4 linked regions of the Astyanax mexicanus genome follow. The protein of the gene in region 1 interacts with the protein of each later gene in a biochemical or structural test. Links are inferred from orthologs where the notes say so. Each region holds a gene or a part of one and is shown in the gene's direction. Other genes may lie near its edges. The genes, in order: esr1, mta1, prmt2 and grip1.

The links.
Region 2: the proteins of esr1 (region 1) and mta1 form a complex in vitro, tested with the Homo sapiens proteins (4 studies listed by BioGRID). The link is inferred for Astyanax mexicanus from reciprocal best matches to the Homo sapiens genes ESR1 and MTA1.
Region 3: the proteins of esr1 (region 1) and prmt2 form a complex in vitro, tested with the Homo sapiens proteins (2 studies listed by BioGRID and IntAct). The link is inferred for Astyanax mexicanus from reciprocal best matches to the Homo sapiens genes ESR1 and PRMT2.
Region 4: the proteins of esr1 (region 1) and grip1 form a complex in vitro, tested with the Homo sapiens proteins (2 studies listed by BioGRID and IntAct). The link is inferred for Astyanax mexicanus from reciprocal best matches to the Homo sapiens genes ESR1 and GRIP1.

Annotation. Positions count from the first base shown.
Region 1 is NC_064408.1:79,147,819-79,155,570, forward strand, and holds the start of esr1 (estrogen receptor), read left to right. Parts: upstream 1-4,740; 5' UTR 4,741-4,799; coding exon 4,800-5,203; intron 5,204-7,752.
Region 2 is NC_064421.1:24,341,203-24,348,483, reverse strand, and holds the start of mta1 (metastasis-associated protein MTA1), read left to right. Parts: upstream 1-4,281; 5' UTR 4,282-4,639; coding exon 4,640-4,667; intron 4,668-5,306; exon of another isoform or gene 5,307-5,508; intron 5,509-7,281. UniProt on the Homo sapiens protein: Transcriptional coregulator which can act as both a transcriptional corepressor and coactivator. Acts as a component of the histone deacetylase NuRD complex which participates in the remodeling of chromatin.
Region 3 is NC_064418.1:45,908,791-45,915,792, forward strand, and holds the start of prmt2 (protein arginine N-methyltransferase 2), read left to right. Parts: upstream 1-3,998; 5' UTR 3,999-4,132; coding exon 4,133-4,219; intron 4,220-5,675; coding exon 5,676-5,852; intron 5,853-6,488; coding exon 6,489-6,650; intron 6,651-7,002. UniProt on the Homo sapiens protein: Arginine methyltransferase that methylates the guanidino nitrogens of arginyl residues in proteins such as STAT3, FBL, histone H4. Acts as a coactivator (with NCOA2) of the androgen receptor (AR)-mediated transactivation.
Region 4 is NC_064409.1:11,298,507-11,306,506, reverse strand, and holds the start of grip1 (glutamate receptor-interacting protein 1), read left to right. Parts: upstream 1-4,991; 5' UTR 4,992-5,462; coding exon 5,463-5,595; intron 5,596-8,000. UniProt on the Homo sapiens protein: May play a role as a localized scaffold for the assembly of a multiprotein signaling complex and as mediator of the trafficking of its binding partners at specific subcellular location in neurons.

The DNA of each region.
Region 1 (7,752 bases):
TTATTGGAGAATTTCTATTGGTCCATTCATCAATACGTTTTGACACAGTGTAAGAGACCATTTGTGTGTTCAAATTATGTAGTAAACTAAAATTAGACAAAAATGGAGATGCTTGTTTTTCATTGGACAGCAATAAATACTCTGCAGGCTGCAGTCACATAACCTTAATATATTCAGAATTTTGCTTAGGTTGGATTTGGCAATCTTAAAGGCCTTGATGCTTCACATTTGTGAATATTAGTTCCACAGACTACAGATCTGTCTGCAGAGTAAATCTGTTTCTGAAACAACACAAATGCACATATAAGCTTAGGCACCTCGCCTCTGTTGTTTTGCCACCCTGGTGTGGTGTTATTCTGGAAAACGTTATAGTTACTCATTAACAGAAATGACAGAAATCACAAGCATGATCTGTTGTGCCCGTACTGCTGCATGACACGTGCTTGCAAAGAGTTTGAAAAACAAGAGATGACATCCACAAAACCCTGACAAAAAAAAAAAATCTGTGGATTTGAGTCACATGAGCCTGGTTATGCGATTGTAGGCTATATGAAAAGTGATTATGTGACTCAAATCCATAGGCTTTTGAACAGTAGTGTGTACACTAGTTAGGGCTTTCAAAGATTTAAATAAACTTTTATTTTGTGTTGAGTGCTGCTACAGTGTGGATAATCATTCATATGGATATGGATTAAAGCCTTAAGGATTGTTGGCTGCAGGGTTTTTCTGAATTATCAGGCATTTTGAAACAGAGAAATGTTTACTTAAGTTGTCACAGTGATCACGTAGTTACCATTGTAATATTGTAATGCAAAATTGGCTGAAACTGAAACTTAATAAATAAACTGAAATTCTCCATTGGGTTTTTTTTTCCGTACATTGTTTTTTTTTTTTTTTTCAGAGGGCTTTGGAAAATGTGCCTAAAAGGAATCTTGTGCTTTTGTCAGAGTTCTTTGTTTGTTAAAGTGTTTTGCTTTTGCTGACAGTTCATTAGTCAAACACTTAAATAAAAAAAATATGTTCTGCTCAGGCTTTGCTGTTATGAACACTTGAGACTTGATCCTAATACATAATAGGATCTTTAGTGAAAGGGAAAAAAATTAGCCAGCAAATGCAATATTTGTGCCAAGATTGGAACTCAAAGTAAATATGTGGTCTTGTACAAATATTTGAAAGTGTGAGTAAATGTCAAGTTGTCACTAAACACTTGTGAACAGGCTTTGGCATTTCTATGAGTGCTGAGCATTTCAGAGCAGTATTCTGTATAATTTTAATATTGTATATTGTTAGTGCTTCAGCTCATTACTAATTCTACTGAGTTACATTCAGAGGAGAGAATAAATTGAATAGTAACTAAATATCTCATACTAAAAGACTAGTTTGTAAGAGAAATAAATACAAACATATAAAATAGCTGAACCACGTTCTAAACACATAAAGTGTGTAGGCTGGTAAATGGTTGGTAAATGTTTTTCTGTTCATTTTTTTAACGACTGATATTTGGAACATATTGTGGTTCATATTGAGGCGCAAGACAAAGGGGATTTCCTCACCTCACTGTGACCTGGGTTATTGTGTAGTGAATACTAGTGTGAATAATTATAGTAACTTAACACTTAGTCAGAACAGTCAGCACCTGACCACATTAGTTTATTAGAAAGGAAATGCCACTGATGAGCAGTTTGACTGATGTAAATCATGAAAAAAATCATACTATTATAATCATTTTAAAATTATGCAAAACCAGGTTCTACAAAGTATAGAAAAACATTGTATTTCTTTCCTAAATAAACCTTAATGTTTAGTTGAGTGAACCATATTCTAAAAACGTGCCTTTGCTGTAAACAGATCTATAGTACAGTTCATTTTATGAACATTGAATTCAAGGTTCTCGTTTGTCCTCACTGAGTGAATGATTGAATGTTTATCTAGAATGTTTTTATCAGTAAATCAGGGTCATCTGTTTGAAATCTGGTCAAAGTAAATTGATAATGGGTTCCAGTTCATTATAATTAGCAAGTACTTCATGTACACAAATATTACTGCAGACATTAGTTTAATTCTGTATTAATGAGAAACTTTATTAAGCTATTTTGCTATTTTTTTATGTACTTTAAAGTAATTGCTTATTATGATATGCTTCACAATACAGGGGTTACAATTCTGTATGGCACAGTATATTGCAATACTTTAAGAGCGTTTTTACACTTTTTCTAACAAAAAAAATAAAATAAAATTAGTACCACATCTGGTACCAATTTTGGGCCGGTTTGGGAGAGGAGCTCATTGCCACTGGTTTGTTTTTACTGACCGTGGACCTTGATTGCACAATTCCATACATACCTTTGCTATTAAAAACGTTGGATATTGGAAACAACTACAGTGTTTTTGGGATGCGTGGATTTTTACTGTAAAGGTGATACTCCAAACAAGCTGCCTTTATTCATGATTTTTGTCCATCAACAAGAGTTTTATGCTGTCAGTATCCTCACTGACTCCACAAAGCTGAGATTATTACAGTAATAAAGTACCACCAGTCCTCACATTGTGCTTTATTAGCCTCAAAAGCAGCTTTCACATTTGTCCTGCAGGGAAAGCACATCCAGTTCTGGAAAAAGGCCAGTGTAAAAAGTGTCATAGTTTAAAATATAAACCATATATAAGCAATCAGAACAACACTAAATGATCCACGGATGATCTGACACCAGTCTTTAGTCTTAGTGATCATTATATACTGTGTGTGTTGTGCCTACATCCTTTTTTGTTACTAGTTTAAAAGTGCTAACTTACTTCACAGCTCTTGTAAAATAACAGGACTTGAGGGTCCCCAAGTCTACTAGTATCCCCATGTCAATCGACCTGGAAGGAGCTGTGTGTTTTACATTGACCTGACCTTTCATTTACACAGTGTACCGCTAAAACCGTTTTCATAACTGATTTTACACGATACTGTGTGGCTGTTTTTCCTATATCTACTAAAGTGCACAGTTACTCATCCTTTCCAGTCAAGCCTTTCCTAGTACGCCCTGTACCCCTGCTGCCTATCTCAGAACTCCTACTCACTTTCCACTTCATTCTTCTGTCTCTATTAGTAACCGCTTATATTAAATTGAGATATTGCCTCATAAATATCATACCAGAGCAATAAGACTCTTTTAGCTGCTTTTCTCTTTCTCATTATTGCCTGATGAGTAAAAACTCTAGATTTTGACCTTTTAAAGCTTTTTATATTGTTTGTTTCAGAATGTAATTAAATTTCCGATGGCAGAAAAGCACATTACCATGTTTTTCTTTCTTTCGCTGCATCCGTCACCTGTACGGCTGTTTGGCAGCTGAATGAAGTGCTGACCTCCTGTCTCTTGTTTACCTGGTTGCGATGACCTGCTCTGCTATCGACCGAGTCGTGTCTTTTAATTTGCCTCCTTTTTTAGAAAGAGAGAGATGCAGACTGAAAGAACGTTTCTAAGGGGAAAGATGTGCGTCTGTGACAAGATAATCACACTGCTGCACACTCTTAACATAAGCAGAATATTCAGTAAATTACTTATAATCACTTCATAAGTTTAATACAATATCTTCAAACGAGTATTACACTGTAAACATAGTTTGTTCTTTTATCCCTTATGTCCTTATATCCCTTATATCCCAAGCTCTTAAATGTAATTAAAAAACGTAAAACAATCAACCAATGTTTTACTCAGCGTTTATTTAATCATTCATAGTAGTTACTGAATAGTATTGTTTGCTAAATCTGTAGTAGATGCTGTATAAGTAATGAATATTGCTGAATATTATAATAATCAGCCTCTACCATCATTAATGCTGCAAGATCTTGGTGAAAAATTAATGCAACACTGGATTGAAATAAATCTTGTGACATTGCAGAAGATTATTGAAACAATACCACAGTGAATGCATGCTGCAATCTAAGCTAACAGCGCTCCAACAAAATATTAGAGTGTGTGATTTTTTTTGTGTGTCCAGGCAGTGTTTATTCCTTGCTTTATTGCTTCATAATTTCACATGCGTGCATTTGTCCACCCTGTTTTGGCAAGCTGCATGAGAGAGTGGAATATTTTAGTGAAAACATAGTGAAAATTTTATAAAAACCTGGATGACATAGAGTTGCAGACATTTTGAACTGTTTAAAAGATACATTTTGATTTTCTAAAATTATATATATATATATAAAAAATGAGCATGATATTTTATACAGACAGGGTGAACATATTAAGCTTTACCACAAATACATTTAGAGACAATATAAGACACATTGAGCGGAAAATAGTATGCTAAATACTAAAATAAATGTGTTTTATTCATGATTTAACCATGTAAATGCACTGCAGATAAAGAAAACTGCATATAATATATTAAAAGTACTTTAAATTGAAGGTAAATATTATTATGCTTTTGTAATAATCTGTAATGAGTAAATAAGTAAAACAAATTATTGTTACATAGTGTTTGCATGATATTTAAACATATATGTTGTGAATACAAATGGCACATTATGTTGATATTGACAAAATTACATTTATAATTTCTTACAAACCTATTTCAGTATTATTTCAGTAATATGCTTATTACTTGCATATTAAACTAGGTATGAGAGACTGTGCTTGAATAAGTAGTGACTAAGAGTAAAAGAGGGAGGGGCTAGTGGAAGAGGAAGGGTAGGGGAAAGAGAAAGAGAAAAATCCCTTTCTCTTAGTCAGAGTGTGAGAGCAGCTGGTGCTGTAAGTCATGCTGCCTGTGAGTGTGTGTGTGTGTGTGTGTGTGTGTGTGTTTGTGTGGTGATGTCTAGTGAGCAGGCGCATGCTGAGGCTGCTGGTGGCAGCAGGCAGCGGCGCAGGAGCAACTCGAGACGAGGCAGTGAGCTGGAGCTGGAGCTGACCCCCAAAGTTTCCCCCATGTACCCAGAGGAGGGGGGCATCTCCTCCACTGTCCACTTCCTGGATGGAGCTTATGAGTACCACAACCCAGCCTCCGGCGTCGGATCATCCCCTGTGGGCTTTTACCCACCGCCTCCGGACCCCCAGCTGCCCCTGGCCGAAGAAACTCTTCAGTCTCTGGCCAGTGGGTCGGCCAGTCCACTGGTGTTTGTGTCCTCCAGCCCCCAGCCACCCACCTATCTGACTCACGCTGGGGGTCAGCAACAGGTGCCCTACTACCTGGAGCCTTCGGCCAGCTCTGTCTACAGGTCAGAATGACTTTAAACTATCTTTAAATGTATCATTCTGTTTCATCTCTGCAGGTCACACAGTATAAAAATGAGTGCTCATTGTTTTTAGTCATTTTGTTAAATGACAATGAATCTATATAAAGCACAACATGGCTTTTCCAGCTCTGCTGTCTTGTGTATGTTTGGTGAATTTACAATGTTTGATTCTTTGTCCTCAAGCACACCTTATTTATCTCTTGTGGTTAGTTACCACATTCAGTAGATGAGATTGAGCAGGAAAAGCAGCAACTGTGCTGGACAGCATTGATGTACAGCTACTATAAGGGCCCTTAAAAGGCTATTAGAATAAGAATTACATTAAGGATGCTAATACTATTCCTACTGATAACAAACTAAGTTCAAAATTTGTTTCAATATCCACACATAGAGCGATACAAAGTTGGTTAATATTTCTTTATGATTTGAAATAAGTGAAATGTTAGATGTGCAGTTCTGTTCTGAGGAAACATCAACAATAAAAAAAAACATTCTCTATATTTTGCCCATGTTTGTGTCATCAATAAAACACAGAAAATGAAAGTAAAGAAAGAACCTGCAAATTATAGTTATACATTCTCAATAAATTCACATTTAAGTAGGATTAGTAGTTGCTGTAACTATTAGTAGTTAAATGTATTTTAAAACAGAACAAGTGATTTGTATTTATAATAAGCAGGAAATAAAACCCACTGTGTGCATCTTCACATTCTTTGTCAGTACTACAAAGAACAGAACAAGTGACTTGTTACTCTTTTCCTGTAAATTGTGTTAATGTGTGTGGCTATGTGTGTGTGTGTGTGTATGTGTGTTAAAGACCTGAGATGAAAGATAAAGCTTCCTTACGCTTCAATTACGGCTCACTGAAGCACTGACTATCTGAGAGTCTGAATGAGCCATGTTTAGTCTGCACTCAGAAAAACAGATGTTACCTATTAAACCTACAGCATATTTACAAGAATTATTCATAGTGCATTAATTGTGGGAGGCATTCCTATTGATGCCATTATCCCTTTTTTACTAGCACTTTATTTATGTATATTCTAAATACCCCTTTTAAACAAAAAGGTTTCAGTTCTGTGTAGCACCTTAAAACGTGTTCTTAAGAGAGACTTTTTAGTTTTTTGGTGCTAAAAGTATTTTTAAAGTTCCCAGTAGAACAGCTTTTATCTTCATTAACTTTACAGAACAGCTTTTCAATGGAAAGAAACACTTCTTATAAGTATCCCAGTAGTGTATGGTCTGTACGAGCTCAGAGCTAATTTTGTTTTTAAACCTTGAGAAAAGAACTATTTGTGCAAATAACAGGAGTGCACAGAGATTATCACGTCCTCTTTGAAGGAAAAAATAAAACGACGGAGATGTTCCTTGATAAGTAGGGTTAATGGTGAATTCTGAGAAATTTAGCATATATATTTCCTTGTAATTTTTTTTTACTAGAATCCAGACACTTATTCTAATTATGTGAATGATCTACTTTAAGGTGCACACAATGCTGATACTGGTGTGCATATCGTCGCTGTCCAATAAAAAACTAGTAGCTCCATTTTTGTCGATTTTTAGTTTACTGCATAATTTGAACAGACAAATTGTCCCTTACACTGTGCCAAAATTTATTGATGAACAGACCAACAGAAATACATAAAATGTTGCAGTTTTGGAGATACTTGTTTTTCATTGAACAGCGATGATATACAGCTTGTATATAAGATTAACAGAAAAGCAATACTTGTGGGATTGGGCCCATCAGAGCAGACACACATTAATATTAAATATTAGTCATTCAACATCAGTGCTTGATCCTCAAATTCTCACAGGACTGTCACAGCCAACTATAATACTCTTGATTTCCAGAAAAATTGGATGGAAAGGGACAATTGGATTTGGACATGCAACATCTCATACAGAGTTAAAGTGTAAACATATGTTATTACAGTATTTTCTTATCAGAAAGAAAATAAACAGGATCTAGTGTACATCAAACAATGAGCCATAAAACCCAGTGAGCTGATTATGTGAGTGTTTTTCAGTGATGGTGGTCCAATCTGTCTCAGATGTTACGCAGTAGTTTGATGAACAACAGAATTAAGCTTAAAACAAACATTTACTTACACTAGAACAAGAGGTCAGAGGTGAACAGCGCCCATCTTGTGTGACCCTACTCGATGTCACGTACACAATACAGATGTGCTCAGAGTGTAGTTTAGTTGAATTACATTATCCTTTAAAAGTAAAAAAAAACAAAAAAAAAACAATTTGGCTGGTTACACATGTATGAAATAATATGTATATATGCAAAATGGACATGTATCACAAAATGAATAAGAACCTATCAAGAAAATAAAAAATGTGTCCAGAATGATGAGCTGAGCTGTACATGAACTGCATGAAAAATCTGTAGAATATCAAGAATTGAATTAACATTCAGTAAAATTACAATTAAATTACCCAAAATTGTTAACAGAATGCATTTTTTAAACTATGGTTTTGAAGCTGGAGTGTCAAACCCATTTACATAAAGGGCCATCATC
Region 2 (7,281 bases), on another chromosome or scaffold:
TTTTTTTATTCATTGTTCATTTTTCTCCCTCTCTTCATCTTCATCCTCTCGAGTAGGAAGGATAGTTGAATCTGAAACACACACAGATTAAATCAGTTTAGCTTGGTCATTAAACAAATATAATATAAATTCTGAACAACATAAAAGTCTTACCATCCTGGCTGGTTAGCTAGCTATTTAATAAAACTAAATAAAATGGTCAGATTTTGGTTATAATTTATTAATGTGATTTTTGGCAACCAGTCTGTCTGTCTGTTGAAAAGCCTCTCTGATATCAGCAGCCTTTTTCCTCAGATGAGTTTATACAGACTGATCAGTATTAAGTTAAAACTGCCCCAGCTCCTCAGAACTGCAGCAGTATACAGGGCTGTAGTGAGTTAGTAAACGCTGGTGCTGCAGAACAGAAGATTAATAAAGAGTTGTGATAAGTTTAATAACTCTAGCTAAGCTAACTGATCTCAGTAGCACAGGGCTAACGCTGCTCAGTAAAGCAGTTCAGATACGAAAATAAAGATGTTCTGTCTGCAACAGCATTAATAACAAACCCACACCCCTATAACTCGCTACTTTAACTTAAACTAACCCTCATAAATCTTTCATTTACAGCCTAATATCACAAACAACCAAAACAGTTTATATATCTGAATCTCCTCACCTCATAAACTTCTCTCTCTCTCCACTCCTCTCCTCCGCCGCTCACTGACGGGTCACTCAGCTCAGCGCGGCTCCCGGTGGATTGTGGGAAATATTAGCGGGTGAAGTGTGCTGGGCTTGTATACTTAAAAATGTCTCCCGGTGCAGTACGTCATCCGGGAACTTTTCGCGTACTCAAACTCGCCTACTGCGCATTCGGACACACTACCCGATCTCGCATACTGCTTTTGCATACTGTTTAGTATGGAAGTACGCGATTTCGGACGCAGCCCACAGTATCTAAGCTCCTACCAAAATTTGAGAAGATCAGACAAATTGTGACACATCCACAGCTAATTTATTAAACGAATGAATTAGGGGGCGCTATAGAGTCCGCTAGCTACACATGAAAAAATTATCACAATATTTGTAAAGTGTTTTTAGATCTTATGGAATCTGACAATTTTCAAGAGTTTTTGAGCATTTCCGTAATGTCAAATATGCATTGAAACCTAGGTGGCGCTATAGAGCCAATGAAATATGTATATATGAAATTTCAATTTTTAATCAAAGGACCGCTTAAATCAAGCAGGCCTGTAAAGTTTCGTGAGTGTTCAACCTGTTTAACCTCCTCAAACACCTACCAACACCAGAATGTATTTACTTCCTATTTTAATGGGGTATCTCCAGCAATTCAACTGTCCGCCATTTCGTCCCCGTTTAAGATATCGACTATTCCTTCGCAATTTATCATCACGGATGGTAGTAGTTTATTGCTGACAAATATCAAGAGTATTCAACAAATTCCCTAGGAGGAGTTCGACAAAGTATGCAAAAAATGTGTGTAAAATGCATGTTTTTCAAAATGGCCGACTTCCTGTTGGGCGGAGTCAATCATATCAACACTGAAAATGTGTGTAATGATGTCTTTTATGTTTTTGCCAAGTTTCATGAATTTCCAAGCAGCAGTATTCTGACCATGCTAATGTTTCTATTTGGTTTAGTGTTGTGTCTCCATTAAATCAATTGCCCGCCATTACGTCATCGTTTCAGCTATCGACTATTCCTTCGCAATTTAGCACCATGTATGTCTGGAGACTATCCACAGACCATTTAGTTGTAATCTGACAAAGACTCTAGGAGGAGTTCGAATGAGTATGTGAAAAATGTTTAAAAAATTAACATTTTTCAAAATGGCCGACTTCCTGTTGGGCGGAGCTAATACATGCCAATGGGTATTATGTGTGGCATCGTAATATCTATGTTTCTACCAAAAATTTTGAACATTGGGGAAAATTTGAGACAGCTACCGCTAATTTATTAGCCTAAACCAAATAGGGGGCGCTGTAGAGTCATTTAGCACCACATTAGAAAAATGATTACATTTCTCGAAATCATTTAAAGGCATTATTGGGTCTGCTAATTTAGAAGAGGCTAAGAGCTTTCTATAAATGTCATATAAAATAGGTGGCGCTAGAGAGCTGATAAATTATGAATATGAAAAATTCCAATTTTACATCAAAGTACATCCTATGCCCAATAGGCCTGTGAAATTTTATGAGTTTTCGAACATCGTAACCCACCCAAAACACCACGGGAAACTTTTTATTTTGTGACTTCCTGCCAAAATGGCTGACTTCCTGTTAGGCGGAGTCAAATAAATCCAAGTGATTCTTGATCGGTATAATGAGGTCAATGAGCGTACCAAAGTTGGTGCACATTGGACAAACTTTATCCCGGCCACTGGCAACGTTTGGGGGCGCTATAGAGCTCCTGATCCACGCCCAAACCTGTGAACAATGTAATTTAAAATTTTTCACCGGCTTTGACGTCTGTGCCAAAATGCAAGAGTTTTCGAGTATCGGAAAGGCCTCAAAAATGGGCGCGAAGTTTGTAAATAAAAATAATAATAAACGGACCAAAAACAATAGGGCTTTGCACCTCCGGTGCAGGCTTCGCCTGCGCCTTCGGTGCTCGGGCCCTAATTAAAAGCCTTACTGACTGCAGTGTGCCAGTGTTAGGAAATTAAGAGTTCTGGGAGGAGGCGGGCTGGAATTTTTAGAACACACGTCAAAAACACAGCAAAACAGCCTACCATTGGAAAGTCTATGAATGACTTTTGCCTTTATTTACACCATGCTAGTGTCCCTTAAAGGGATATGTGATATCAGGTGAGCCACGCACAAACTCACGTCAACCACAGTGCCACCAGTCACTAGTTATACTGGTCTGAAACCAATAGATCAAGGCTTTCAGTCCTTAAAACTTAAAGAAAAAACTAAAACAAAATCAAAAATCAATTTACTGATGGTCAGTGATGGTTTGGAGAGCCATGCCATCTGCTGGTTTTGGTCCACTGTGTTATATCAAGTCCAAAGTCAGCACTTGATGCTCTCCTCTGCTGACTACTTTTATGGAGATGCAGATTTGATTTTTTTGACTTGGTACACTGCCCACACTGCCACAAAAAAATTTGAGATGCTGTTTTTTGTTTTATAGACTGTAAGCCATGATAAAAAAATAAACGCTTATAATAGATCAATCTATTTGTAATACGTCTATATAATATGAGTTTGACATTTTGAACTGAATTACTGAAATAAATTATTTTTTAATTCTATTCTATTTTTTTTTTTACCTTTTTTACTTAAAAACTGCTAGTATTGAACCACTACTAACTACTCCTAACTTCCCCCCTGAGTATGGGCCTGTGGACCACTGAAGAATGCTTCTAAAGGGAAATGTGATATCAGGTGAGCTACAGGCCAACCCTTAAACCTCAACAGAGTTGCCAGGTTTGCGGTTTTCCCGCCAAATTGGGCTTGTTTGAAAATCCAGTCGCGGGTGAAAATTCAGTGGTGGCGGCTGCCAAAAACGTCAACACGGTGGGCAAACATGTAGAGGTTGACACTAAAATCAATCTTCCTTGATTAACAACAACCATAAGAATGAGGAGAACATAACGACATAAGGGAGGACAGCAGGAGAGAGAGAGTAACCAGAATGTAACCAGACGTAAAAACCACAGAGTAACCAGAAATCACAAGGCGATGAAAAAAAAAATGTTAAAGAAGAGAAAAGAAAGTTCAGGAGGGGCAAGAACAGAAATTAGTAAGTAAGTAAATTATTATTTTTGCTAACTATGTTACTATCAAATGTTATGGACTTTGATATAAACTGTTATAAGATAACTAATAAAACATTAATGTTTCAAAATTATTAATGACTTTAAGATAAATAGCAATCCTGATAATAAACACCTTGTAAAAAAAATCAAACAAAGTCGTACACTCATAGTTGTTCTGACATTTGCTTCAAACGTGTGACAGACAGATATTTTGGGCTAGTTCAAGCTTCTGATTTTGGGCTGGATATTTTTGTTGGACCTGGCAACATTAGTGGCACTGTAACCGTTGGAACTGGAACTGTTCTGTAGAATACAGTCAGCTAGCGTTAACTAGGTTAGGTTTTCGTTTTTGTGTTGAAGAGAGAGAGGGATGGAGGGCTGTTAGGGAGATGGTGGGGTGTTGTAGGGCTCGGGAGGGAGAGCTGAGGGGGGGTTCCAATCTGAAAGCAACAGTTGTTTACTTTGTTATTTTGCCTCTAGTGGGTCTGAAGTTGTACAACAGCGATTGTTTCGGTATTTCCGAGGGAGGCGGAGACTGAGCTGGACGGTGATGCTCGCGGTCTCCACCTCCTCCGCCTCTCCTCCTCTCTCCTCCCTCGAGTCTCTCCTGACCGCCAGCCCGCTTTCTCCCTCCCTCCGGCCGCCCCGCTTTGTTTTCGCGCTCTTACCGAGTCCCTCAGCTGCTCTGTCCCGGCGCGAGTCTCCGAGTAGCGCGGTGAAGCAGAGTAGTGAAAATGGGCGCACTGTCTCTTTAAGATCCCCTGACTGCTCCGCTTCGTATTGATCAATCCACCATTTTCCAACACACTCAGCGGCGGAGGCAGTGCTCGCGACGGCGTGAGGAAGCCCTACCTGGAGCCACCAGGACGCGGGGCAGTCATGGCAGCCAACATGTACCGGGTCGGAGGTAGAGAGCACGTTTTCTGCCTGTCTGTGTCTCTGTGTTGGTGTATGTTTATCCCTCCCCTGAGCGGCGGCCTCGGGTATATACAGCGTTATAGAGCTAGTTACAGTTCAGAGCCCAGAGCTGGAGCAGCTCTCCGTGTCCTTCCTCTTTATTTCCTAAAGCTGGAGTAGAGAGAGCCTCATGCTCTGTGACCAAAGGAGGATGAAGATGATGATGAGGAGCGGGATAAAGATGAAGAGTCTAACTAACGCTAGCTGCTTTCAAACCCCCTCCAAAATGTGTCGTTTAGCTAACTTACTTTCTTAAAACTGGAGTATTCTAGCTTAGCTAACCTAAACATAGGTTAGTAACTTAGTATTTACAGTGAGTTTAGCTAGGTTTACTAGTTAATTAACGCCAACTAACTAACCTAGCTAGCAGCTCTGCAGTCCTATACCCCACCAGCAAACAGCCAAAGCTCATAATTCCCCCAGAACTGAAGCTTTTTACTTAAGTTTTCAAGTTTTTAAAGAAACCTCACATATCATGTAGCATGTTTAAAAAAAGCTGACTAGCTTAGCTCATAGCTTAGTTGCCAAGTAACGGGTGAGTTAACCAGCTAACTATCCAGACATACGTAACTTAGCTATGGGTTAGCTAGCTTAGCCTAATTACTTAACGTTAATACTAACGTTAATTACTTCTCAGCCACAAGAAGTAACGTTAGGGAACGTTTGGTTGAGCATGGAAGTAAAAAAAAAACTATCAGACAGTAGAAAAGCTACGAACTGGAGTACTTTACCGCTGTTAACCTGTTCCTGAACGAGGAGGTAAACAGAGAGAAGTGAGCCGTGGTGGAAACGTGAGTCCGTCCTTAATTAGTTAACTAACGCTGGTCAGGTTAAGTTAACCTAGCCTTCTTGTGTGAAGTAGTACGTTAGTTAAGTTACATATAATTATAAAATAAAAGTATTGAATAGTTCAATTTTTTCAATTGCTTTGAAGCAGGGGTGGGCGATAACAGTTAACGTTATATAACTAAAATAATATCACAATATTTCGGTGTATTTTTGCGATAAAGATATTCTTGGCGATATGACAAAACATTGATTTTTATTAAATAATAATTTTAGCAACATAGTTACTACTACAACAAAATAGATATTAAAGTTTTATTTAGTCTAAGCAAAAAATATATAAACAATTGTCTGATTCGTAAAACAGAGCCTGGTTTTGTAAAAGAAAAAAAAAAGGTGTAATAAAAGTAAAGTAATGGAACTAACACAAATATACCACAAAACTAAAGTGCAGCATATGTAGTGCATATAAACTGTAACCATTAAAATACTCGCTGTTTTAAATCCCGTTCATGCAGCTTGCCATCAGCTACAGGAGCCCTGAGAGAGCAGGGCTCTCCTTGCTCGCTCTGTGGGTAGATGGAGCTCTTTCCCCACATCACTCCAAAGGGTGATGTTGATCAGCACAATTGTCACAGATATTATTGTGAAAAATTATATATTGTCTTTATAGAAAACAACCATTGATATATTCAGCATATAATGGTACAATCATAAAATAACACCCTTTTAGAGAACCATACACTTTTAAAATGAATAATAGTCTAGGAGAGAAGTGTGTTTTCCAGCAATTCGCAAGTTTAAAAGTTTGCCCTATATGTTTTAGTCCTGTTTTTATTGAGTAAATACAGTGGTTGGTATCAAGAACAGCAGAACTTAATAAAGTCAAGAACATATAATTATGGTGACAGATGTAATGAATACCATAAGTAAATTCAGTGAAGACTTTTTAAAGCCTAGAATGATGTTGTGAGCAGAAGAAATTAAGTCAATTTCGAATCCCTCTGTAATATTTTGTAGCCATTTATTATACTAAATTACGTGTCAAAAACAAGTTGGTAGTTTTCTGAGAATGTAAACTTCCCAATTTAGCTTTTTTAAAGTTAAATTGGGATACAGTTTAGCAGTTGAGTAGTGGAACATGTCATCAGTTAAGACTGTCTTTTTCCACCTCAGTCTTGGGGGAGACCCCCTACCCTGCCAAATATGGCACGAGTCTTCCTCTTACAGTTCATTGTGGTCCGGTTTCTGTCTCTTGAAGTTTTTGATAGTGAGCTAGCTTTGTATGTGTTTTTTGTCATATGTAGTGAATTGGAGATGATGCTCAATTATACGTTATATAAAAACATTTTCACAGTACACAGTATTTATCATCTTTTGACATAAAAAAAAAATCAGTATCAGATTCTGCTGTTCAAATACTCTTTCATGAATGACGATGAATTTTATTGTATTTTTGCGGCGCATCATCTAATCTAACTGAATTTTCTTAAAGTATGTTGTCCATGCAATAAGAAAATTTATGACAATATGATAAAATTAATATAAATATTTATGTATAAAATGGGGACTAATTAAACAGTGTTTGGCTGTACAGAATTTTAGAAGGATATCTTTCTTTAAAAAGTAAATAAAGACTTATTCTTGGTTAAAATGTTTGCAGACTTGCTAGTCCAAATGAATTTTTTTCAAATAACTAAGTGAATCAGTTTGCTGCAGTAACAGCCTATACTCTTTCAACCTATACTCTTAAGTCTTTACATGAGAGATTGCAACAT
Region 3 (7,002 bases), on another chromosome or scaffold:
CCCCACACCGCGGCTTATCCGCTGCGTAAGCAGGCTAGGAGGCTGCTGCTGCACGGTTTCTCCGCTGCGCAAGCCAGCCCAGTAAATTGCTGTTTGTGTTTTCACACTTAGGCTATTTGCTTAAAAAAACAAACAAAAAAAACGTTTGTTCAGGAAGTATTTTATATTCTTAAACATTGTTAATTATATTAGAGGACAGTCATTGTAAACTGTACTTGGTCTATTTCGGTTAAAGGATTGTGCAGGGCATATTACTGATTTTGTATTTTTGCACTTGGGCTATAAGCTCAATATTAAATATTTTGTTTGTTTAGAAATTATTTTATATTTTTAAACCATGTTAAATTATATTAGAGTAGAGGAAAGTCATTGTTAATGACGTTATTGTACTTGGTCTATTTCGGTTTAAGCATTGTGCAGGGCATAGCCGTATTACTGATTTTGTATTTTTGCACTTGGGCTATAAGCTCAATATTAAATATTTCGTTTGCTTAGAAATTATTTTATATTTTTAAACCATTTTAAATTATATTAGATAAGAGGAAATTCGTTCAGACATCATTTTTGTAGGCCAGGCTTTTGTAACCGATTTAGCCCCTACTGTTGCCACATTACCTCTTACGTTTTATTATATAAATCAGTTTCGAAGAGCCTGCATTTTTTTTTATCATGTATAATAGAGGTCTGCGCGAGACTGATTTTTAAACCCACTCTTCCACGCTCCCGCGTTTCTGTCTCGTTACCGCTCCGCAAAAAAATTGCTTCTTTTAATCCCGCGCCCGCCCGCCACATACACATTTCTGCCGCTCCCGCCCCACGTTCCTAATATAAATTAAATAAACTACATTTAATGCTTCAAATCTACTTATATATTTATTAAAACAGCAGCGCTGAATAGTGTGGTCCCGTTCCTTACCCCAGTCCAAACACCATCGGTGTGTGCGTGTGTGTGTCGGTCCATCCTGCGCGTTGAGAGTTTTCTTTAGGTTTTTTTTTTTTTTTTACAATTATTACAGTTTTCTTAACTATTTATTAATTTGCTCCCGCATCGTCTGGATTAAACCCCCGCTCCAGCCAATAACAGTTCAGCTCTGTCCCGCGCGCAAGATATTCTGACGGGACCCGCGAAAACAGAAGTGGTTAGAGTGAGGTGGAACTCTGGAAAGGAGAAAAAAAACGAATATCCGAATACCAAAATTAAAAACCGAATACCTACTCAACGAACGAATATCCGAATACCCGAATATTCGGGTCCAGCCCTAGTAATTTGAACATTTTTTTGTCTGTTTGTGATTGGTTTATGTGTATCGTGTGTGATACTACATAAAGAAAATGAGTTCCAGTCCTAAAATAGCTTTGCCAGTTTGTTTAAGTAATTTTATGGGATGCAATAGATAATAAAAAATAAAAGGGAAAAATAAATCAAAGTTCAAAAGTTTTCAAAGAGAAGCTCCAGAGTTCAACCTTGACTACTGTCTTCTGCTCAGTGTTTTATACCAAATCTATCAGATCTCAGCACACAGTTCTACTAAACACGTGTGAGAGTTAAGCTTCTAGGTCGCCTTACCCTCTTACAGCAGCCTGTTTTAAAATTAAAACCGGCTCTGTGTGTTTTTGTCCATTAAACTTGCACAGACAGCACTCTGGAACTCACACACATCTCCAATAGACAACAAATCACTGATTTAATATACAGAAACTATACTGATTCCACTGAAAAGGCCTTAAAGGAGAACTCTGGTGTAAAATAGAATTTTGTTGTAGTAAAACATGATAAAAAGTACTTATCTTTGATGAATAGCACACCTCCGTTCTCCCACAGCGTTCTGAGATCCAGAAATTTTAACAGTTTGTCCAAACACCCTTTAGACTGGGTGATCAGGGGCATAATTTGCCCCGATAACTCGCTTTTTACACCGTTATCCAGCTCAAAGTAGCTCCACACCTCCTTGCTAGAATCCAGAGAGCCCTGACATTTGAAACGAGACATTAATAACTTAAAAAGTGCACAAGAAGCTAATTAAAAACTTTTATAAAGCTTTTAGCTCTGAGCGCCTCCATCACTGTACTGATAAACATAGATATACATAGACTCCACATAGCATAGCAGCCAGCGCCATTGGGCAGGCTATGCGAAGTCTATGTGTGTATATATATATACAGTATATATATATATATATATATATATATATATATATATATATATATATATATATATATATATATATATATATATATATTTATGTTATTAGCGCAGATGGATTCTTACCCATGGTTAAATATGAATCACCCAAAGAAAAGGAACCAGAGATCATGCTAATACTGGATAAATACTGGATAATATATTGATTATGCTAAATTGCTAATTGATTCAGGTAAAATACCGATTATTCATTTAATTGACAATTGAACATAATAAACTATAAAAAACTCCATATTCTTTTAAATTGATCTAGTGGTATTTTCTAATCTTTAACATTTTTTTTTTTTTTTTTGAAGAATATATTTTCAGAACCTGTTGAGTTGTGACGGATCTCTGTTCAGTGAAAAAATAAAATTTAGTTGTAATATTTTAAGGGTTGTTTGTTTGTGTGTCATTGAGTTTGTTATCAAGTCTGTCCACCCATTCAGAATTTATGTAATATACTTCATGAAAATACATTTTAAATATACTTTCACTGTATTTCCATAAATGTATTTTAAGCAAATATATGTAGTGACATTAAAAACCGATTAAACACTGCGTTACTTAAATCTTCTTAAGTTTGTAGAAGCTTTTATGTTGTATTTAAATATAGCTTAATTACAACTAACATATACTTAAGTTGCCGTAAGTACAATTAGTATGTATTTAAGTACTTTTCCATGTTAACCATACTTTAAAAAAATACCAACTTAAAATGCACTTTTCTTTTACAAGGGTAAGTGCATTTTTCTTGCAAATAAAAGTAACATATCTGCTATTTATTTATTAAAATATAGATTAAACATATTATATTGTGGAAATATATTGTAAGGCACTTAACACATATAAAACACGTAAACACCTCTTGCAGCTCTGCTGAATCATGACTAACCTTCACCCTTCATCTTATAAGATAAGAAAAGATTCTTTATTCATCCCACAGCGGGGAAATTTGCAACATTACAGCAGTGCAAAGGACAGAACAGAGGTGTCAGAAAAAATACAACAGTATAACACACAAAAATACAAGAAAACATAACTATACTGAAAAATATATATATATCTAAAATCTGGTTCTCCAGTGTGTATATTCTACAATAACCAGTGATCACAGTTATTGTACACAGGCTGACATAAATAAATGGCAAATAAATAGTACATAATTGGTGGTATTGCACATATTATTGGTGAATTTAGCTATTGCACATGGTAATTAAACAGTTTTATTGCACATAGTAAGAAAAAGTGCAAATAGTGAACTGCTGTTTACTGAGCGCAGCACCTGTTATACAGTCTGACATGTATATCATATGATACGATCACTATTATGATTTTATTTTTATTTTATTATATGTTTAAAATAAAAACACTTCAAATATCAAAATGTTTGTGTTCAGCAAACAACAACAAACTAAAACTAAAATATGAACAGCAAAATGATTTGTCCCACTAAAAACCATTACAGCCTTAAAACTATTTGTTACATGACAATCAGACTAGCTATACATAAGTTTTTTACACACCTTTTCTCATTCAATGTGTTTTCTTAGGGTTTGTTTAAATTATTTTTTACATTGTAATTTTAATATTAAAGACTATATTAAAGCTATACAGGAACATGCAAAATTAATGTGGAGGACTAAACACATTTTTACTGTTTACTACGTAGTTTAATATGTGTCTCTTAATTGTTTTCATGTCTTTAATATTAATCTAAAATATAGAATTAAATGAAAATATTTAATTTAATATGTTTATTCTGGGTGCTGCAGTTCCGCTGCCTGCCTGTAGGGGGGAGTAAAGAGCGCGCGTGTCCGGTTCAGCTCCGCTTCCGGTTTCGGTTTCCCCTCTGTTTGGGGAGAGAGAGGTTTAATTTGTTTGTTTGTCGGTCTGTCTGTCTGTCTGCTTTTTTGTCTGTCTATCTGTCTGTCTGTCTGTCTGTTGGAAATGAATGGGGATGAAAGCGGAGAGAGTAACCCGGAGCCGGAGGAGTTTATAGCGTTAGAGGACTTTACCGGCAGCGGAGCAGAGCAGGTCTGTTACACCAGCCTCACAATTCCACCTTAAATATCTAACGCTAGCTAATGTTGCGTCTCAGCCTGTTCCACCTTAAATAGTTAGTTATAGGGACAGTTTTCCAGAGAGGGGTTCAAAGTAGTCTGGGAAAATGTTCCCTAATGTTTATATCTGGTCCTTTTCCACCTTAAATAACTAGTTAATGTTTTTTTATGTGAGACTGTTCCACCTTAAATATAACTATTGATTGTAATTGAGGCTGTAATAAAATCTGTCTTAGCGTTTCGCGTTTCTCTTTCGCGTTAAATATCTAGCTATGTTTAGCTAGCTAATCTGAAGCTTTTCCACCTTAACTGATGTTTTTTAATCTGAGACTGTTCCCCCTTAAATAGTTATGGGGCAGTTTCCATGGAGGGGTTCAGTTCAATCTGGTAACCTTTTCCACCTTAACTTACTAACGTTTATATCTGAAACTGTTCCACCTTAAAAATCTAATTAATGTTTACATCTGGAGCTTTTCCACCTTAACTGACTAACTAAATTGTTTTATACGAAACTGTTCCACCTTAAAATGTAACTAATGTTTATATCAGAAGCTTTTCCACCTTAACTAATGTTTATATCTGAAGCTTTCCCACTTTAAATAATGTTTATATCTGAGACTGTTCCACCCTAAATGACGCTATATGTCTTAGACTGTTCCACAGTTTGAGACTGTTTCACCTTAAATATCTAAATAATATTTATATCTGAATCTTTTGTGAGGCTTCCACCTTAAATATCTAGCGAATGTTTATAACTCAGACTGTTCTACCATAAATATCTATATAATATTTACATCTGTGGATTTTCCACACTAATTAATGCTTATATCCTGACTGTTCCACCTTAAATATCTATTTACCATTTACATCTGAAGCTTTTGCACAGTAATTAACGTTTATATATAAACGGTTCCACCTGAAGTATCTATATAATATTTATATCTGAATATTTTGTGACGCCTCCACCTTAAATATCTAGCGAATTTTAATATATCTCAGACTGTTCCACCTTAAATATCTATATAATATTTATATCTGAAGCGTTTCCACACTAAATAATAGACTTTTATGTATACTGTTCCACCTTAAATATCGACACAATATTTATATCTGAAGCGTTTCCACACTAAATAATAGACTTTTATGTATACTGTTCCACCTTAAATATCTATACAATATTTATATCTGAAGCTTTTCCACACTAACTAATTAATGCTTAATCTAGGCTGTTCCCCCTTTAATATCTAGCTAATGTTTACGTCTGAAGCTTTTTCACATTAACTAAATATTTGAGACTCTTCCACCTTAAAAAATCTACCCCAATATTTCCAAAGGTATTTAGACAACACTTCATATGGGTGTGCTCAACTACTAATTTTAGGTGTTCTGAATGTGTGAAAGTGTTACTCTGACTCTGGATCTCCTCACAGCTCAGTTTTGCAGTTGGAGACCGGATCCTGATCCATGATCAGAGCTGTGCTGATTGGTGGTGGGCGGAGGTGGAGGGCCGTTATGGGTATGTACCCTCCGGCTACCTGCACCACCCGGATGCTGAGGTGGAGGACGGCTGGCAGGATGAGGAGTATTTTGGAAGTTATGGAACTTTGGTAAGTGTTTGACTTTTGGGGAGTGTCCTGTTTTATTATGGTGTTTGGTATTAAAGTGATAGTTTGGTAAGAAATCATTTTACCATTAAACAATATGGCTGCCTTAAAGTTGTGTTGGAAATATCGTATTTACGAGAAAAGCACACATGATCTTCTCCACCGACTTGAATTTAACTGTAGGAAACTCATTGCAGTCTATTTTATAAAGATGTACATTAAATCACACATAAAGGAATCATTTGCGTACATGCTGCTGATACTTAAGATATATATATTTTATTTTAGCCAGTGCCCTAATTTCCGACTGTTACTGTATATGGTTATTCTTTGTATGTCCTCGATTATTTATTTATTCTTCTTTTACAATGACACTTTAAGAACAACCTTAAATTTGGTAAAACGCTCAATCTGAAGGAACTTTAAAACTGAGAAATTTCTTTAAAATAAAGAAGAATGTAAAAATTTCACAAAAACAACGTTTTTTAGGACAAAAATTCGTCCTAAAGGTGAAAGTGTCATAAACTGAATTGTACAATCCAGGAATGTTAAAGAATCGTCTCCACAGAGCTCTCCAGACTTCCTCTGAACGTTATCTGTGTTTTCGGCCAATTCTGCCTCCCTGTTTTGTGTCTATAGAAACTTCACCTGGAGATGCTGTCGGACAGACCACGTACAGAGACGTACCGGCAGGTCATCCTGAGCAACAGCACCGCCCTGAGGGGGAAAGTGGTGATGGATCTGGGCTGCGGCACCGGCATCATCAGTCTGTTCTGTGGGCGTCTAGCAGAACCTGCAGCGGTAAATACGTACACAGCAGGACATTAACACACAGGAACGTTATCAGAAATCAATATTTGGTGGAATAATAAACTGTTTTTATTCACAGTTTTCATGCATCTTGGCATGTTCTCCTCCACCAGTCTTACACACTGCTTTTGGATAACTTGCCTTTATTCCTGGTGCAAAAAATTAAGCAGTTCAGTTTGGTTTGATTGCTTGTGATCGTCCATAAACGTAGCAAAACAAAACAAAACAAAAAGCCCATTATATTATTTTTCCTCTGTCTGATCACAGTTTTATCATCACTTTTATGATAAACACAATAGATAATAATTATAAGAGAATAATATATAATATAATAATAATAATA
Region 4 (8,000 bases), on another chromosome or scaffold:
TCAGCAGTGCAATTTTAGTCCTACATTTAACTCAGCAGTTCAGTTTTGGTTATTCATTTACCTCAGCAATTCAGTTTTAGATCAAAGTTTTGCTCAACTGTGCAGTTTTCGTCCTACATTTACATCAAAAGTGCAGTTTTAGTCATACAATTACCTCAGCAGTTCGGTTTTGGTCCTATATTTATCTCAGCAGTGCAGTTTTAATGCTGCATTTAATTCAGCAGCGCAGTTTTAATCCTGCATTTCCCCTTAGCAGTGCACTTTTAGTTTTACTTTTACCTCAGCAGTTCAGTTTTGGTCTAAAATAAACTATGATTTATATAAATAATATGACTGAAATAAACAAGTCATTGTTGAATACAAAGTACTCAGTCTTCTTACTTATTCAGTTTAACCTAGTATGTGCCTTTTTTTTACACAGTTTTACAAAGTTTTGTTATCTTCAGACGAATATATTCTGTGTAATCCTATCAATAACCTACGAAATTGCGTTGTTTATATTGATTACGTAAAATTGTCGGTTAGTGGTTCTGAATGTCAGTTTAAATTAATTTCGGGGTAAATGCTCATCTCAAACTGTTTCTTTAAGATGAGTAGAGCCTGTCTTTATCTGTTCTGGCATGTTAAGTGACTCATATACTGCTGCCACAGCGTTTGCTGCACAAATATAAATGTAATTATTGGCAAAGCATGAAAAAGATGAGATGCAGGCGATATTTTGGGGTTGGTGCTCAAAGTGGCGCACGAGCAAGAGCGGGAAGAGTGAAGATGGCACAGGAAGCAGTGAAGTGAAGAGAAATGAGAGAGACAAGGAGGAGGAGAGAGTGTGCAGGAGAACGAGAGAGAGAGAGAGAGAGAGAGAGAGAGAAAGAGAGAGAGAGAGACGAGTGCAAGACGAGCTTGTTGGCAGAAGATCAAATTTTTAAGCTGTGCCCTACTGCAGTGGTTTATCTGAAACAATCTTCAGAGAGAAGCATACCTGGAACGGCGCCATGATTTCCACGATTCCTAAGCATTCCTAAGACCACTGCTCACTACTGTGCTCGACTGAACACGGAGATGATGGTGAGCTTAAGAGCTCAGAAGAAGATTCTTCATTTCAAATACACTCAAACCTCATCCCTCAGGCTTTAGTCCGACCCTACAGTTGCTGTAGATGTAGACTCTACTACTTCCGTGTAACCTTTCACTACACGCAAAAGAGAGCATGGTGCTCCACGAATCACGACGGAGCTGCGCAATTCTACAGCCGTGCAGCTCAGTCAATTCCCAGTAGCATGCGTGCATGCGCAAGTCTAGGCTTTTCTGCTAGCGCTAATCAATAGCGGCTCTGTGGAGTGGCTTGATTGCAGCAGGTGGCAGACAGATTGGACGAACTCGTCCGTGTCCCCCGGTGGTTCTCTACCAACTTTCAAGGGATTCGCCGCCGCAGCCCTGAAGGCTGAGCTGTCTTGTGCTCCCTTATGTTTGCCATAATCTCCTGCAACAGTTCCAGACTGGAACAGATTCTCGCCTCGTGGAAGAGCAATGAGATGTAGAGGTTTTTAATCGTTAGACATGTTCCAAATCTCAATGTAAAAGTCTCAGTTTAGTTAATTAAAGGTTTATAATAAATTGAAGTAAAAATTCATCTCCATTAATTGACATTTTCCACTTTTTTTCCCTCCGTTTTCTCCCCAATGTACACAGCCAATTACCTAACCCACTCATTAAGACTCTAAGACGATGCCCCAACACCAGGAGAGAGAAGACTAGCACATGCCTCCTCTGATACATGTGAATTGGAGGAAAGAGCAGTGACTCGGTTCTAATACATCAGCTAACAGATGCCTCATGCTGATCGACATCACCCTTTAGAGTCATGTGGGGAAAGATCGCTATCTACCCACCCGAGAGAGAGAGAGCAAGGCCAATTGTTGTTGTGCTCTCTCAAGGCTCTCACCGGTAGCCGATAGCAAGCTACATGAACAGGTTTCGAACCGGAAATCTACTGATCACAGTGGCAGCGTTTTCAAAAGTTTTTCCTCTTACCTTGTAAAGTTTATATAGTGAAAGCTTTGTGCATTGCAGTGTGTCAAATACAAAATGTTGCCTTGGAAACTGATTTAATTGATTGAAGGACAAATATGCCAATACCATTACCTTAATACCATTCCATAGTGTTTATTCTTGTTGTCATATTCTTGTGTAATATATTCAAACTCAATTTAGACAAAGACAATGTATGTGTCAGTCCTGACGCTGTCTGTCTGCCTGCTCAAGATTGTCCTCTAAAGACTCAACTTGCCAGCATGCACCCACAATGGACTTCCATGACTCCACTGATTACATGATGCTATGGTGTTCCTGCTCTCCTAGCTACTAATTGGTTCCACCTGTCCTCCCTAGTATATATACCCCTCAATTTGCACAGTTCAGTCCTAAGTAATGTAGGATACATTGCTGTTTTTCCTACTTTGATATTGACCCTTTTTTTTTAAATCACTGTTTATAGTCTTTTGCCTTGCCCATTTTGTTGATTACCCGTAGCCAAATGTTTTTGTAATAGCAGGGGTATGAATGATTTTGTAAGCAAATGCTCTTTGTTTGTTATTTTCCAACAAGATCCAAAAAATGGATCCCAAAAAAAGTTTTTTGATAGTAATTATCTCCTTTTGTATTTTTTGGTTCCATTTTTTCTAAATTCAAAAAAAAAAAAAAAAAAGAGAAAATAACTATTAAACATGTTTTTGTATATTATATTGTTGTCTGTTTGTATATTTGTGTTGCCATATACTGTACAGTATCCTTGATGTTACATTAGCGTCTCGATCTGCTGGATTAAATGTGATAATCCATGCCGTGCCCATGGGGGGAGAGATTAAACTGGCTCCTCGTTTTTTCACAAAAGAACAAAGAGAGACCACCCCCACACACTCCACATTCTGTCTACCTCAAAACACACACCTCAAGAGCTCATGCGAACAGGTTCTGTCGAGCGAGCTGCCGGCATGTTCTTGCATGAGCGGATGTTTTTTTTGAGGCTGGTTTGTTTGTCTCCTGTGTTGTTTGCGTCTGAGCTGGGAATGTGGGCTAGAAAGCCCACCCCCGACCCCCCTGAACACGGACATCCGGGGTCCTGCATTAGTCACAGCTGCTGGGAGAATATTGTAGGGTATTGTAGGCTTCAGGTCGGAAAATGACAAGGTGAAAACCTGTGTTTTTGAGCTGGTTCTTGTTTTTGAAGGCAGCCGGGTACAGCTCTGTTCCACATCAAGGAGAAGCAATGCCTTTCTAAAACACTGTAAAACAAAGAAGCGAGACCACCACCAGCAGCAGCAAGTCTGGCAGGCTGCACACTCCCAGTTCACCATGTGGGTCACTGTCACGCGCTGCTTGACTGCTGGCAGAAGCTGAGGTGTCATTGGTGGAAATCAGCCCAATTAACACGTACCGCTCTGGAACGCTAATGCTATTAGCGGCTCAGTCCGTGTTTGGGGTGGCTGGAGATGGGGCTAGGGCTGGAACTCCTGCTGGTGGAGGGTGCTGTAATGTAATCCCCTCATGCTTTTGTTTGTTTGGCAATGCGAACCACTCCAACACCCACCCGCTCCAGCTTGTCTGAGTGCATCATCTCCTGTGCTGCAGCACCTCTAAAAATGGGCTTTTGGAGGGAAAAAAAACATATGTTTAGAGCTGACTTAAAAGAATACTTACTTTTTAAGCACTGCAGCTTTAAGTTACAAGCTATAGTACTATTCACGAGTGGGGAGGGAAATCTATGTTCTCTTTTCTGGTAGTTGTTTTTTTTTGACAAGAATAACATTGGCTGGTAACCTGAGCAAATATTGGCACTGAGAATGGCATTGATACCAGAGCAAATGCAAACATTTTAGAGATATCAAAACTTCAAATGTAAACTTTTAAACCTTCTCGTACATGCATTTTTAAACCGAAAAAACTGATCTGACAATCTAAAAATTAATTTTTAGAAAATCTGCACGTTTAGTAAAACACATTCTTGTTTGTTTAGTGTTGAAACAGCTTAGCATGAAGCAGAAAGAGCATTAGTTCATAGTTACAGTAGTTAATTGTCTGGATAATAAATCAGGTTAAACTGCACCTGAACAGCTTATCAGTTTATCTCAAATAAAAGGAGTATTTTTGATTGTCGAGTCAGATAGAGAACGGATCACATTCTTGTTTGGAACCGGTCTGAAATTATCTCCTCTAGGGGGTCTCGGTATGGTTGTTTTGGTCTGCACCAGAGTTTTATTACTGTTTTCACACCTGCTAAAAAAAAACGAACCGCACCAGAGTGTGTTTTAACTGGAGCAAATAGTGCTGGTGTGAAAACACCCTTAGTTAGCTGTGCTCTTACGATGATGGATTCCTTTGTTCTCGTAAATTGTGCAAATCTCAAATATAGAAGTAGTGGGGAATGTTGGAAAAGGTCTAGTGAGTTTATTTACAATGCATCTCAGAATGCGATGATTGACATTTCTCAGACTCCATTGCATTGAAAGAATAAATATCAACTTCAGCTGGTTAAAAATCAACTTTACACAATTCTACTCTGACCACAGATTAACCCAGGCAGGGGGTGGGGTGCAAAAATGCAGAAATGCACAAATTCTTTCTTCAAAGGATTCTTTTAAATTATAGGACATCATCTGGAATTCCTTCAGTCTTTATTGCCCGCATTCTTGGAGGCACGCAAAATACCACCTTGTGCAGCTTCTCCACCTTCCTCAGGCTTTTTAGCTTTTGGCAAATCAGGGGGAAAGCAGGGGGAAGGGTGGGCAGTGAAGTGGCAGCATAAACCCACAGCTCAGGGATTCCTCGCCTGGCTGCCGGGTCCTTTGAACTTTGTGTCTCTCGCTCTCTTTTGCTGTGAAGGAATAAGCAGAAGAACAAGCCGGCCTCTCCTCTGTATGTGTACGAGTCCCCACCTCCCTCCCTCTCTCTCTCTCTCTCGCTCCTCATTCCCCACACTCCACAATGCGCACACACCCTCTTTGGCTCTCGCACGCACTGACACACACACAATGGACTACTCAGCAGGCGGCGAGTGCTGAAGGCTGGGCAGAGGGAGCCGGGCTGGACGGGGTCTATTCTCTCGGAAGAGTCGGCCAGGTCCGCAGGAGCTGATATTTGACCCATTCCCTATCGTTTTATACCCCCTCCTCCCTCCTCGCCTCCTCTGCTGCTCCCTGCCTTCTTCTTTCTTCAGTCTTTAGGAGATCACTCGCTTTCTCTTTTCAGCAGCTCTTTGTGCAGCGGAATACACTCTCACATCGCTGCTGCCGCTACTACTGCCGCCACCGCTGCCAAGACTACCGCTGCTGCTGTCGCTGCTACTACTACCGCTACTGCTGCTCCAGCTGCCGCTGATTCTTCTGCCTCTTCTGCCTCTGCCTCTGACTGCTGCTGCCACTGGAGCAGGAGGAGGAGTGCGGCAGTTTTGCGTGTAGATCGCTGGAATGGAACGCTTCCTTGGCTTTGTAAAGCAAATTCGCAGGTCCCGCAGACGCAAGGGCAAAAAGTACCGGCCCGAAGAGGATTACCACGAGGGCTATGAGGATGTGTATTACTACGCTTCCGAGCACCTGCACAGTAAGTGGTCCTGCTTGACTGAATGCCATCCCGGGGACTGTGCAGGGGTCCGGCAAGGGATCCTGCCCCCACAGATCTGTTTTATTGTTTTACCATCAGTGTGAATCATTAGCCTTGAGCTGGCAATAAGAGAGAGGCAGGCAGGCAGGCGGGCAGGTGGGATGGTTAGTCGGGGTGGGTGGTTGGAAAGGAGGGACTGACTTTGTTTCGGGGGGCAAATCGAGAGGCTTATGCGCAGCTTGTGAAGCCCTGTGGAGTGTGGCCAGGTCGCAGGGCGATAATGGATGTGATAATGTCTCAATGTCTCAAGTTGCCTGTTGTCACAAACACGTGTATGTGTGTGTGTGTATACACACGTTTGCGTCGGTGTGCCTGTGGCTGCAGTAAAGAGCGTGTCCTGCCAGTCTTGATAAATGGCATGTATCGGATAACGCTTATTTCTATTGATTGAGCGTGAATGGTTTGTCAGAGAAGGTCTCGGAGCGAACTGTGTGTGTGCGCACATGTGGTCAGTCCCGGCCATGTGCAGGCCACCTTAATGCCTTAGTGTTGCACCACCTAAAGGTTTGGTTGGTTAGTTGGTTGGTTAGTTGGTTGGTTTGGATGCTTGTTTGCTTTCTGCCCTTGTCTTAAATGAGGTAGGAAGATAGATAGAAAGGTAGGTAGGTGTGTTTGTGTTGTCACCCCTCCCCCGCCGTTGCTGACATGCTGCTTCGCCCTAAAGGCACGTTGTTCTCAGGTGACGTGTGTGGTGTGTGTGTCTGTGTGTGTGTGAGAGTGTGTAGCGGCTTGTTTAAAAATACAGCAGCCGTCTGCCCGTCTTCCGTCACCTACTTTCATCTATTATGAAGCAGCACTCTCTTCGTGCCCCCGGAAGAGAAGCGTTTGTCTCCTGCCTCCTGCAGTCGTTCATTAGCTGTTCTTAGCTTAGTGCTTCCATTACTTCCATTACGTACAGCTGTGGAACTCAGCTGATCGCAGCTCTGCGTTGAGAAGCAGGTTTTATCTATTAAACTACTAAGCTGTGTACTTCTTCCCTCAAGCAGTTCCCCCTAACTAGTGACCTCAAGGTTGTAAATGGAATGACAGGCAAGGGAGCAAAGGGAGGCCTGTCATCTACATTCCTTCCCTCCTTACTTTGCTGAGTAAGAGAGATGGAATGACCTGGAGTCAGACCCAGAACAGATGTACGGAACCTTGCTCTGGTGCCGTAGCCCTCCTGGCTTGCTGGGTTAGCATTCAGAACCAGCACTGAGTTGTTTTCAGGGTTTTCTCCTTAACAGTCCACAGAGCACAGAGTAGAGCGAGTGAAGGCCTTTGACATTCAGGAAGGTCTGGAATGTCTGTATTTTCATACCTTAGGATTAAGCAGTTGCTTGAATTTTGATGTTGTGGTTTGTGGCCTCACGTCGGGACCCCAAACCCGTAGAGCCACCATGTTCTTGTTGTTCCCTGCGACTCTTTGTTACTCACCCAGCCTGAGAATTGAATGGATGATGACTGGCTTAATTGATTGCACAACTCGAGTCATGTTTTATTCTACAGCGCATGCTGTTTAATGTGCACAGAACCATTAATTAAATAGGAGCTTTTTTCATTAGCGGATGGTTACGACTGTGATTTTTTGCCTGATGGCGGAAACCGGCTCTCTCGGTAGTCTCGCTCTTGCATGCATGCGTTTAGTCAGATATTCGCTTTGATGTGCAATCGCAAAAGCTCAGCTCTGCAACATAAAATTAGACACCTAATTGGCCCAGCTGGAGTCCAAGTGAGTCAGACACAGGAAGTGGGGGAATAAATGGCATTGGGAAGAGTTTTTAGATATGGGGACCTATCCGACATGGAGATGTTTAAACCTGAGTCTCTCAAGTTTGTTGGTATGCGAGTCTAGAAGGCCACAATTAGGCCTGAGATGACAGTAGATCTTGCTAAAAAGCCAGACTTACAGCTGTGGCTCGACGCATCCCGGAGCGCACAGTGGCAACCCACGCTAATTAACTTCTGTGACCGAAAAAAACTGTAAATGTCACACTTGGTCACTGAGCCTACCCTCATCTGTGCTTCAGAGCCCCTCCTCTCTGCATCATTTATATCAACCTCATGCATAATTCATGCTGAGGTTGTAGTCTGCCCATTCCTGTACATTCATCAAACTCCTACTTGTGTGAGACCCTGCCATTTGCCTTCTAATGGGATTCATCCGTCTGCAGTCCCCATCCTCCCCTGGCTTGGGGGACGTGTACACTTTTGGGTTTTGAAAAATGATTCATTTCACCACGACAATAAGGAAGACTCGGGCAGGGCATGCTCACTCATAAATCTGGGAAATGAGGAACAGCGGAGCGCCAAAAAGGAGGATAAAGAGAAGCTTTGTGGCTTTCAATTCCTGCCATTTGTTTTCCTGC